Linked DNA regions of Zea mays. The protein of the gene in region 1 binds, or shares a complex with, the protein of each later gene. Links are inferred from orthologs where the notes say so. Each region holds a gene or a part of one and is shown on either strand. Other genes may lie near its edges.

Region 1 (5,252 bases):
TGCATGGTCTCCTGCTCCTGGTCGCAAAGAGGACTGATAATAGAATGCGGGAGCCCACGTCTAGCCAAGCGATCCGCCGTCCAACATTTATTCTTTAACAGCAGCCAGATGAAGAATTTGCACCGGAGGGGTGGCCAGCTTTTCCAGATCCTTTTCCAAGGCCCAAATTTAATTGTCCCTAAGAAGAAAACCCGATAAGCAGATTCAGATTGATAAGAGTACTCAGATATTCTCAGATATTCGACCAAACGAATTGATCAAGAACTCCTGGTTGCAGAATAACAGCATCAACCAACTCCAAAATTCTCAGATATTCGACCAGAACTTGGACAGTAAGCCCCCCGCACGGATATCGGTAACCCATGTATGATTAGATATATACGTGGTAGGCTAGGGGTAACACCAATTGAAGAAAAACTTGTCCAATGCCGTTTGATCGAATGGAATATACCCAAAGATTTAGCCTTGAATTGGAGCGAATGGAAAACAACTATCCATGTGCCTGAACTTGATTTGTGGCTTGTGTTGGGTCTCAGCTCTAGCCTAACCTAACTTGCTTGGGACGAAAAGATTTCGCTTGTGTTGTTGTATGCCTGGCTTGGGTTCCCAGAATGCCACCTCTGTTTTCTTTGGTGGACTTTGAGTTTATCTATATTCTGTGGTTTTCTAATGCTATAATATACTTTTAATGCTGGGTATATCGTTAGCACATGTGTTATTTTTGTTAAATTTTGATTATATATGGTTCCTTATTTTGCGAGAAGTGAGCAAAGCAATCAGAAATAAAATCAAATTTGGCCTCTTCGTGCATTTTTTTTGAGAAAAAATGTATCGATTTCTTGATGTGCTACCGCCTACCGGTGTACATTATCAATGTTGCATTGAATTTTGTAGTTTCCATTGTTCTGTTTCTTACGTAACTAATTCATACTGCAATCATTTCAGGAATGTCTAAGATCTTCTGCTGAACAAGAAAAGATAGGCTTATTGAAAGAGAAGGACGATGCCCTGCAGAAGTATAATGAGCTTAATGATCAGGTTATTTAGCAATTTTTGTGTTGAATATCTAATACACTACCACAAAAAGTTTTTTTATTACATTTGATGTTTGTTATTCTTGTTTAAGTAATTTTCTGCCTGTTGTAACTGCATGCTGGACATTCACCTTTTGTTTTCTTTTCATAGCACATGCCTACTTCAAGTGTTAATTTGTAGTGGACATATTGTTACTGCTGGGGTGTAGACATATATTTGGAACAAGTAATTGTTGTCAGTTAGGGATGAAACTGGACAGGATAAATCCTGTACCCTCTACCTTTTTTGTCCCAACCATTTTCATATAACCGGGAAATTACAGTACATCTTAGATATAAAAAATAATATAACTCAATAGCTGTAACTTCAAGTGTGTTATTGTGTACTCTGTTTGGTTTTAATATTCTGGTTTATGTCTGTTTCTGCTGAATCCCCACTCGTATTTACCCGTTCCGTATTGCCGTCTATCTTGGTCCCGGCTTTTTGGGTCCTGCCGCTCCCGCTCCCGGCTTTTTTTGATCCCGCTTTCATCTGTTTTCATCCCTATTATGAGCGTAGCACAGTATGGTACTCCCTATGTTTTCTGGTCGAGCGACCAGCTGGTTGACCTAGGGTTCCGACCAGGTGACTAATCGTATATATGGTATATATAAAGTAAAGATTAAACATGACATGAATTTTGCAATACTGACTTAAGAGAAGATATTTGTTCATCCATCTAAAAATAGTTTCTCCCCAGTGACCCTAAAGTAATGCTGGTGTTCAAAACAGCAAAGAAACACTTACTACCACTCTAGAATTTTGGACATTTAGAAGAACAAGTAATGAACAGCGATTGAGAATTTCAGAGATCTAGAATTTTGGAAGGTTTTATTGAGGCTGCCGGCGGACGTTTCACCTCTCTGTAGCCGGCTGCTTGCCAGAAAAAAGCCCATAAAAATTTGAGGCGCGTCGAACCTTGGTTGGACATTATCTCCTGATGAACGAGCGACTAATCGTAGCTAGTCGGCAACTAGTCGGATGGCCAAGGCGATCAGGTGTCCAGTGTCCTAATCGGGTCGCCTGCCCTGATTGACCACCCAAAACCTACCAGCCCGACTAATCGCGATTAGTCGGATGATAATGAAAACACAGCTCCCTCCATTTAAAATTACATACATTTTGGCTTTTCTGTATTCATAGTGTTTGCTATATATGCACTTAGATATACACTATGTCTACTTGTCTAGATACATAGTAAAAGCATGTATCTAGAAAAGCCAAAATGTTTTATAATTTGGAATGTAGGGAGTATCATGCAAAAAGGCTTGAACTCTCCAGCTAGATAAATGTCTCATTTGTAGTAGTAAATAATTTGAAGATGAAATTGGTTAGTGACGGTTGTGGACGTATGTATTTTTATGGTCTACTTCAACTAGGCATATATTGGGAGTCTGTGCTTTCACTGCTTCTTAATGCTATTCTTTTCACAATTAATGATTCTGAGTTTGACTAGCATGCATTTTTTCATGATTTCTATTTTGTTATGAGTGCAGAATAGAATTCTACACAATCAGTTAGAAGCTTTACACATTCGGTTAGCCGAGAAAGAACGGAATATTGCTGGGCTTTCATCACATCGTACTGATAATTCACATGCAGAAGATGATCTACAAAGTGTCATCAGTTATCTGCGCAGATCGAAAGAAATAGTAAGCATTGGATTTGGAGGCTTTGTCTAGTATTCAGTTTGCACTAGATGTGGTTCTTATTCAGCCTATTGACTATTTCAGGCCGAAACAGAGATATCATTGCTTAAACAGGAGAAGTCTCGGCTTCAGATAGAAGTATGTTATGCTAGCACCTGGCAACCTGCCCTGCATTTGTCCTTATTCAAAATGCTTTTGAATTTAAAAATATAAGATTCCATGAGGACCATCTATTGCTGGTTAAAAAACTGCAGCACATTCTGCCAGATGCAATATGCCATGTTGACCATATAATTAAAAAGTTGTTCGATTTCTGTTTGATAAACTGTGCATTGGTTCAGTGTCGTAGGATCTATGATTTTTTTTTGCTGTGCGTCATGTTGCCTTCTAGTTGGTGTCAAAACACCAGCTCTACTGGCAATTGTTTGTTTAAATTGACGCCTCCCTAATAATAGCCAATTTGCTCTGGAAACGGTGTTATCTGCTATATGCGTACATGCTCTGAAATTGATGACCCTTTTTAATTCATCTGTCTTCAAGGAAAGGGGGTTTTTTATAGACTAAATTCGGAATGTTTGGTTGGGACTTTTGTGTTAGAAGTAGTATTTGATGGAGCATGTGAACCTCCATTGTAGTTTACTTTACAAACTTTTTTGGTTGAATGTATTGATGTCTCTAATTTCATATGTTTCTTTATAATGGTAATACAGCTGGAAAGTTCTTTAAAGTCTGCCAAGGAGGCACAGGACTTGTTGCGAAGTCAAGCTGATAGTGCCAGGGCATTGATGTTCAAGGATGAAGAGTTCAAGTCACTGCAGATTCAGGTGCAATTCAATTGTTGGGATTAGTTGATCACATAGCTATGTCGCATTGCTATGTTGCTTTGACCTGGTTATTGAGTGTATTTTAGCCTTATTACCTTATTTATTGTTTTTTATTTGAAATGACCGACCTCAGGTCAGAGAAATTAACTTGCTTCGTGAAAGCAACATACAACTTAGGGAGGAGAACAGGCACAATTTTGAAGAATGCCAGGTAATATATTAAATTGGTAATGTTTAATTGCTGGTTCATATCTGGATGTGCATAATTTTTTATTTTAATTTTGTGCGTTCAGAAATTCCGTGAAGAAGCTCAAAAGGCTAAAATGGAATCTGAGAGGTTGCAGAACCTTCTACTGGAGAAGGAGGTAGACGCTGAAATGTGCAAAAGAGAACTGGAAATGCAGAAGGCAGAAATAGCTAATCTCAACCAAAGTATTTCTGAGGTAAGTTTTAGTCCACTTTCTAACAGTAATGATAAAATGCCATGAAATTCCTTTGGCTTCATTAAGAACAGCAGCTGTGGTTTTTGTCCCAAGCAAGTTTTAGTCTGTTGGTTTGTAATATGCAGGTTATTGCCATAAAAAAATTGTAAACATTGTGAGAAAACAATATGTGCATAAAAATCTATATATTAATTCATTCTATTCTTCATATGTTGAGTTCTGCAGTTGTGTATTAATGTTTTCTTGGCAGCTGATTGAAAATAGCAAAGGCATTGATTTGAACACTTATGAAGCCATGAAGAATGAACTTCAAAATATCAAAGTTAGTCTTCTGTTTTCCTCTTCGTTTTTCTTTGTGATGATGCCATTTTGAATGTTTCTTGGTCAATGATGTATACATGATTGGATTTCTTTTTCTGCACAAAAGAGTTTGATGACTGTCATTTTTGTCTAGTTTGACTAAACATTTGATGAATCACTATAGTGTCTTGTTTCCCTATTTTGTACCAAATATTTTTGTACCACTTTATTTTCTTTGCTGTGAGTTTGTGACATAAACTGTATGAGCTTCTGCACTGTACTCTGTATTACGATTATTGTTATCTTTTGGATGGATGCTTGCTTTGGGTGAAAGTGATGGCGCAAGTCTCTAACTGTACATGAGTCATTAAGTGTCTAATTTCATTAGTTGTATGATATTGGATTTGCTTGACTTTTTTGGGTCATAGTTTAATCGTCTTACTATCACATACATTAACATAATTATCGTTTTCAACAGTCAACCTTGAGAGAGAATTCTATGGAGCTTGAAAGTGCAAAGATACTGCTTTCTGAGAAAGAAGTTGCCATAAAAATTTTGGAGGATAAGCTTTCATTATGTCAATCTGAATTGGATTCCAAGGAAAAGAAGCTGAATGATGTAGAGGTGATAATAGTTCCAACTTTCATGACTAATATATTAACTAATTCGCTGTAGTACTTATATTTTTTTGTCCTATTGTAGGCGTCCCTTAAATCTGAGATTGACAAGCATAAGAAGATTAATTTAAACTTAAAGGTTTGGTTTTTTTTCACTTAGTTGCAATATTGAATTTCTATTTTCTATTTTGTTTATTCATGTGTCTTCTCCCATTTTAAATGTTCCAGAGAAAGCATGACAATTTGATGAAGGAGAAGGGAGAGATTGCTAAAGAAAATCAAAGCCTTGTAAAGCAGATGGAGGATCTTAAATCAAGTACTTCCACGCTGTTCCTTGTTCCGTT
Region 2 (3,600 bases), on another chromosome or scaffold:
AATCTGGAATATATTTGAAGTTTGGATAAAAGTAGGTATATAGAATAGAGTTTTGTGTAGGAAATAAGATTGTGTTTTGTGTAGGAAATAGGATTGGTTTGCTAGGAAAGGAGAAATCCAAATCTATAAAGACTCCTCTAATTTGCTTTGAGTACGAGTCCTCTAGGGACTAAATATAGGAGCGATGTAACCTTTCAATCTTAAGCAGAGACAGAGCATCAACTCTCCCCTACCTCTCTCTCTCTCTCTTCTCAACCTTGGTCTCCTCTCTAGCCACTGCCACCTCCCACACCGCACGTAGGCACGTGCTGTCGTCCTGCCCACGCTGCCGCTCAAACCCTAGCCCCTGCGTCTCCAAAGCAGCAGCACCGCTTCCCCCCTGCCCTAGCCGTCACTGGCAGGAGCAAAAGCAGCCTCCTAGACAGCCTTCCCGGGAAGGACTGTGACACTGACTTCTCATAAAGGCACTTGTGCAAGCAAAGGATGATAAAGCCTCATATTTTTTAGCTTTAGAAAAAACTTGAAAGTGAGTGACTAAAAGACAAGGACAGAAATATCTGTTGGTGGTTTGTTCAAATATCGCAGAACTAAATTACTCCCTCCGTTCTTTTTTATTTGTCGCGGTTTAGTTCAACATAAACTAGCGGACGACAAATATTCGAGAACAGAGGTAGTACAATTTAGAGAAACACAAGATACAGACAGGACTTGAAGTAAAGGTCAGGTTCAGTATATCGTCCAATCCTATCCTAGTAAAATAGTCTTGTACTCTTGTTATTCATTCTACAAGAGAGGTTGTTAATTAGTCTATATATCCAAATATTCCATGGTAAAAGGTGCTTTCGTGGTCAAAATGAGTTCTCCAGGTAACCACCAGACCAGCAAGAAAAAAGAGAAATTTAAAAGATTGCTAAGTGATTCACATTTTTTCTGAGTCAATGCACACAAGGTACTGTTGAATATATTAATACACACCACCAAAAAAACGCAAAGCTCTCTGACATGAACATAAGGTACTGTTTAGTATTCCAATACATAAAAACTAGCAAAAGCATGTGAAATGAAAGTACAAGATAATTGCAGATACAGAACATCATAAACCAAACCTAAAAGGCATAGAAATAACTGACCAGCAGCAACCTCCTCCCACAAAGACAGTGTCCCATCAGCACAAACACAAGCTATAGCATCCCCATACTCTGGAGGAAGCCAGACGACATTCACAATGGCTTGCTCATGGGCCTGATCCAACACCAACCAGGTTATACACCAGAATACACCAGTTTGTACAATCAAAAGAACAACTGAGATTAACACAGTAAACATAGAAGGAACCGATTTTGGATAACAGTTTTCAAGTAGTCTTGTGTGCAATGCCCACAAGGCTGCATATCCATCATAATTTTCAGAGCAAGCACAAATTCAATGTCAGGAACTCGAATTATTGCCATGAGAGAATTATTACCATCCCACGGCACTGCTACTTAAGGACACTTACTAGTCTATGGCCCTGTTTGTTTCATCTTTTTTTAGCTTCTGGCCACGAGAAGCTGCTGTAGACTGCCAAACACCTAGTTTTTTAGCCCGTTTATATGAAAATCACTTCAGTCAAAATCGTCTAAAATCAACGTGAATACAGAATCGGCTGATTCGTTGTGATAGTAGGAATCCATCACTTTCTACATGCTAAACCCTATGAACTTATTTATCTTTCTCCGCATATAATCTTCACGATACTCAAATTCTCTCAATGGACAGATTCCCTCCGCACTCAGAAAACGCTTTGCTGAAAGAACAATATTTGTGAAATCTAGAGAGTGAATTTGGTAATTCGCCCCCACGCAATGTGCCCATGACAGTCCTGCCCATCATCGTACGCAAGTACTAGAATGTAATACTAGGCAGCAACAAGCTCTAAACACACACGGGGCAACAGAAGGCACTGTGCATGCGCTGGGGGCAGATGAACTCGAGCGAAAGCTACTGAGAACGGGGCAAGTCGTCTTCAGCCGGGGGGGAGGGGGTAGGGGAGAGACACGGAGGAGCGACGCGGAACTGACCTGCCACTTGAACGAGGGTGGCGGCTGGGAGTCATAGACGGAGACGGAGCCATCGACGGCGCCAGCGGCGAGGCGGCGGCCACAGTGGTTCCAGCCGCAGCACGCCGTCCCGGGACCCAGCTCCGCCACCTGCCGCTCCGTCATTCCGTCGCCTCTTGCCCTCTACGGCTCTACTAGTGACGTCGTGGCGGCGGCGAGTGTCTGCCTGAGTTGAGTTGGGTCGGGCTGCGGGCCCGGATTTGCGGCGTTTCGGGTGCGACCGTGCGAGTGAGCCCAGAAGGCTGTCGCTGTCATGCACTCAGGTCTGTTTGGCAAGGAATCCTAGCCCAAGCACTCAAAGTCCAACGCCTGAGATCTGTGCCAGGCCAGGCAACTTTGGCCGGCTTCAAACCAAACAAGCCATGCTATGAGATGAGGAGATATATATATATGGGCCTGTTTGGTTCGTGGCTAACTGTGCCACACTTTACCTAAGTTTAGTCGTCCGAATTGAAGAACTAACCTTAGGCAGAAAAAGTTAGGCAAATTATGGCAAGTTAGGCAGGAAACCAAACATGCCCATAATTTTTTTTCATCCTGAGAGGGTGTTCAGTTGTGGATAAGAAAGTTGAAAGTAGATAGATTCTAGAAAACTTCCTCTCTTTATTTCAAGGCTCCTTTGGATCAAAATAATTTTATAGGAAAAATAGGATTCTGATTTTCATAGAAATTACTATTGTAGCATCCTTTGGTTTGTAGGGTTGAGCCTTAGGAAATTTAGAGGAAAGAATCATTTGTCATTGTTTCGTATGCAAAATGCATGAAAACAAGCATCCAGTCATATCTTTTTTTTCCAATCCTTTGCCCCAACTAAACAACCTTCCACTCAAAATTATTTTTTCATTCCTCTGTTTTACACATGCATTCCTATATTGTTCCTACATTTTTTTCTATTCCTATGTTTTTCAATTCCTACTTTCCAGGTAGTGTAGATAGTTCTTAGAAGTTAGAGTTGAGTCCGAGCTTTGTCTCGGAAGTTCTAAATTTCTCTTGGGGTCTTTAGATATATCTTTTTTTTTTACCAATGACTATTAAATGAAATCTAGTTATCTTGTGTTCTAGTGTGAGCACTACCTTTGTTTTACTTTAAGTATTACATTCAAATATTACTTTATTTTACCTTTATTTCTTGGTTATTGTTGAGGTAGTATAGGAGCACTTTAACTAAGGCTTAGCATTGTGTTAGATTGTTGATTATCAAGTCTTATCTGGCTTGTTGATGTTATAAGCCACACCTAGTCATGGTTACTATGCTAGTTACCTCTGACCCTCTGATCCAGGAGGAGTTTCAATGTTTAAGCTCCACTTGAACACTGTCATAATGTATCATCCTATCCATGCAGCTATGGTTGGTAGCCCCTATGTGTGACACTGAGAGTGTGGTCTATGTATCACGACCTCGTTGTCAAATAGGCATGTAATTGATAGCTGGCTTCCCTTCGGTGTTCCACCTATCCGCCCCTAGGAACCTTGAAATCTACGGAATTTCGCTCGAAGCAAG

Evidence for each region.
Region 2: Nuclear-pore anchor (region 1) and IDP351 share a complex: the UniProt entries of both Arabidopsis thaliana proteins name them as parts of the nuclear pore complex. The link is inferred for Zea mays from reciprocal best matches to the Arabidopsis thaliana genes NUA and SEH1H.

Annotation. Positions count from the first base shown.
Region 1 is NC_050099.1:187,927,795-187,933,046, forward strand, and holds part of Nuclear-pore anchor, read left to right. Parts: intron 1-945; coding exon 946-1,038; intron 1,039-2,570; coding exon 2,571-2,726; intron 2,727-2,807; coding exon 2,808-2,861; intron 2,862-3,433; coding exon 3,434-3,547; intron 3,548-3,680; coding exon 3,681-3,758; intron 3,759-3,840; coding exon 3,841-3,990; intron 3,991-4,240; coding exon 4,241-4,312; intron 4,313-4,768; coding exon 4,769-4,915; intron 4,916-4,993; coding exon 4,994-5,047; intron 5,048-5,136; coding exon 5,137-5,224; intron 5,225-5,252. UniProt on the Arabidopsis thaliana protein: Component of the nuclear pore complex. Acts as a docking site for activities required for desumoylation and mRNA export. Required for the proper expression or localization of a subset of miRNAs.
Region 2 is NC_050098.1:223,531,507-223,535,106, reverse strand, and holds the start of IDP351 (Protein SEH1), read right to left. Parts: upstream 2,459-3,600; 5' UTR 2,205-2,458; coding exon 2,061-2,204; intron 1,243-2,060; coding exon 1,131-1,242; intron 1-1,130. UniProt on the Arabidopsis thaliana protein: Required for proper export of mRNAs from the nucleus to the cytoplasm.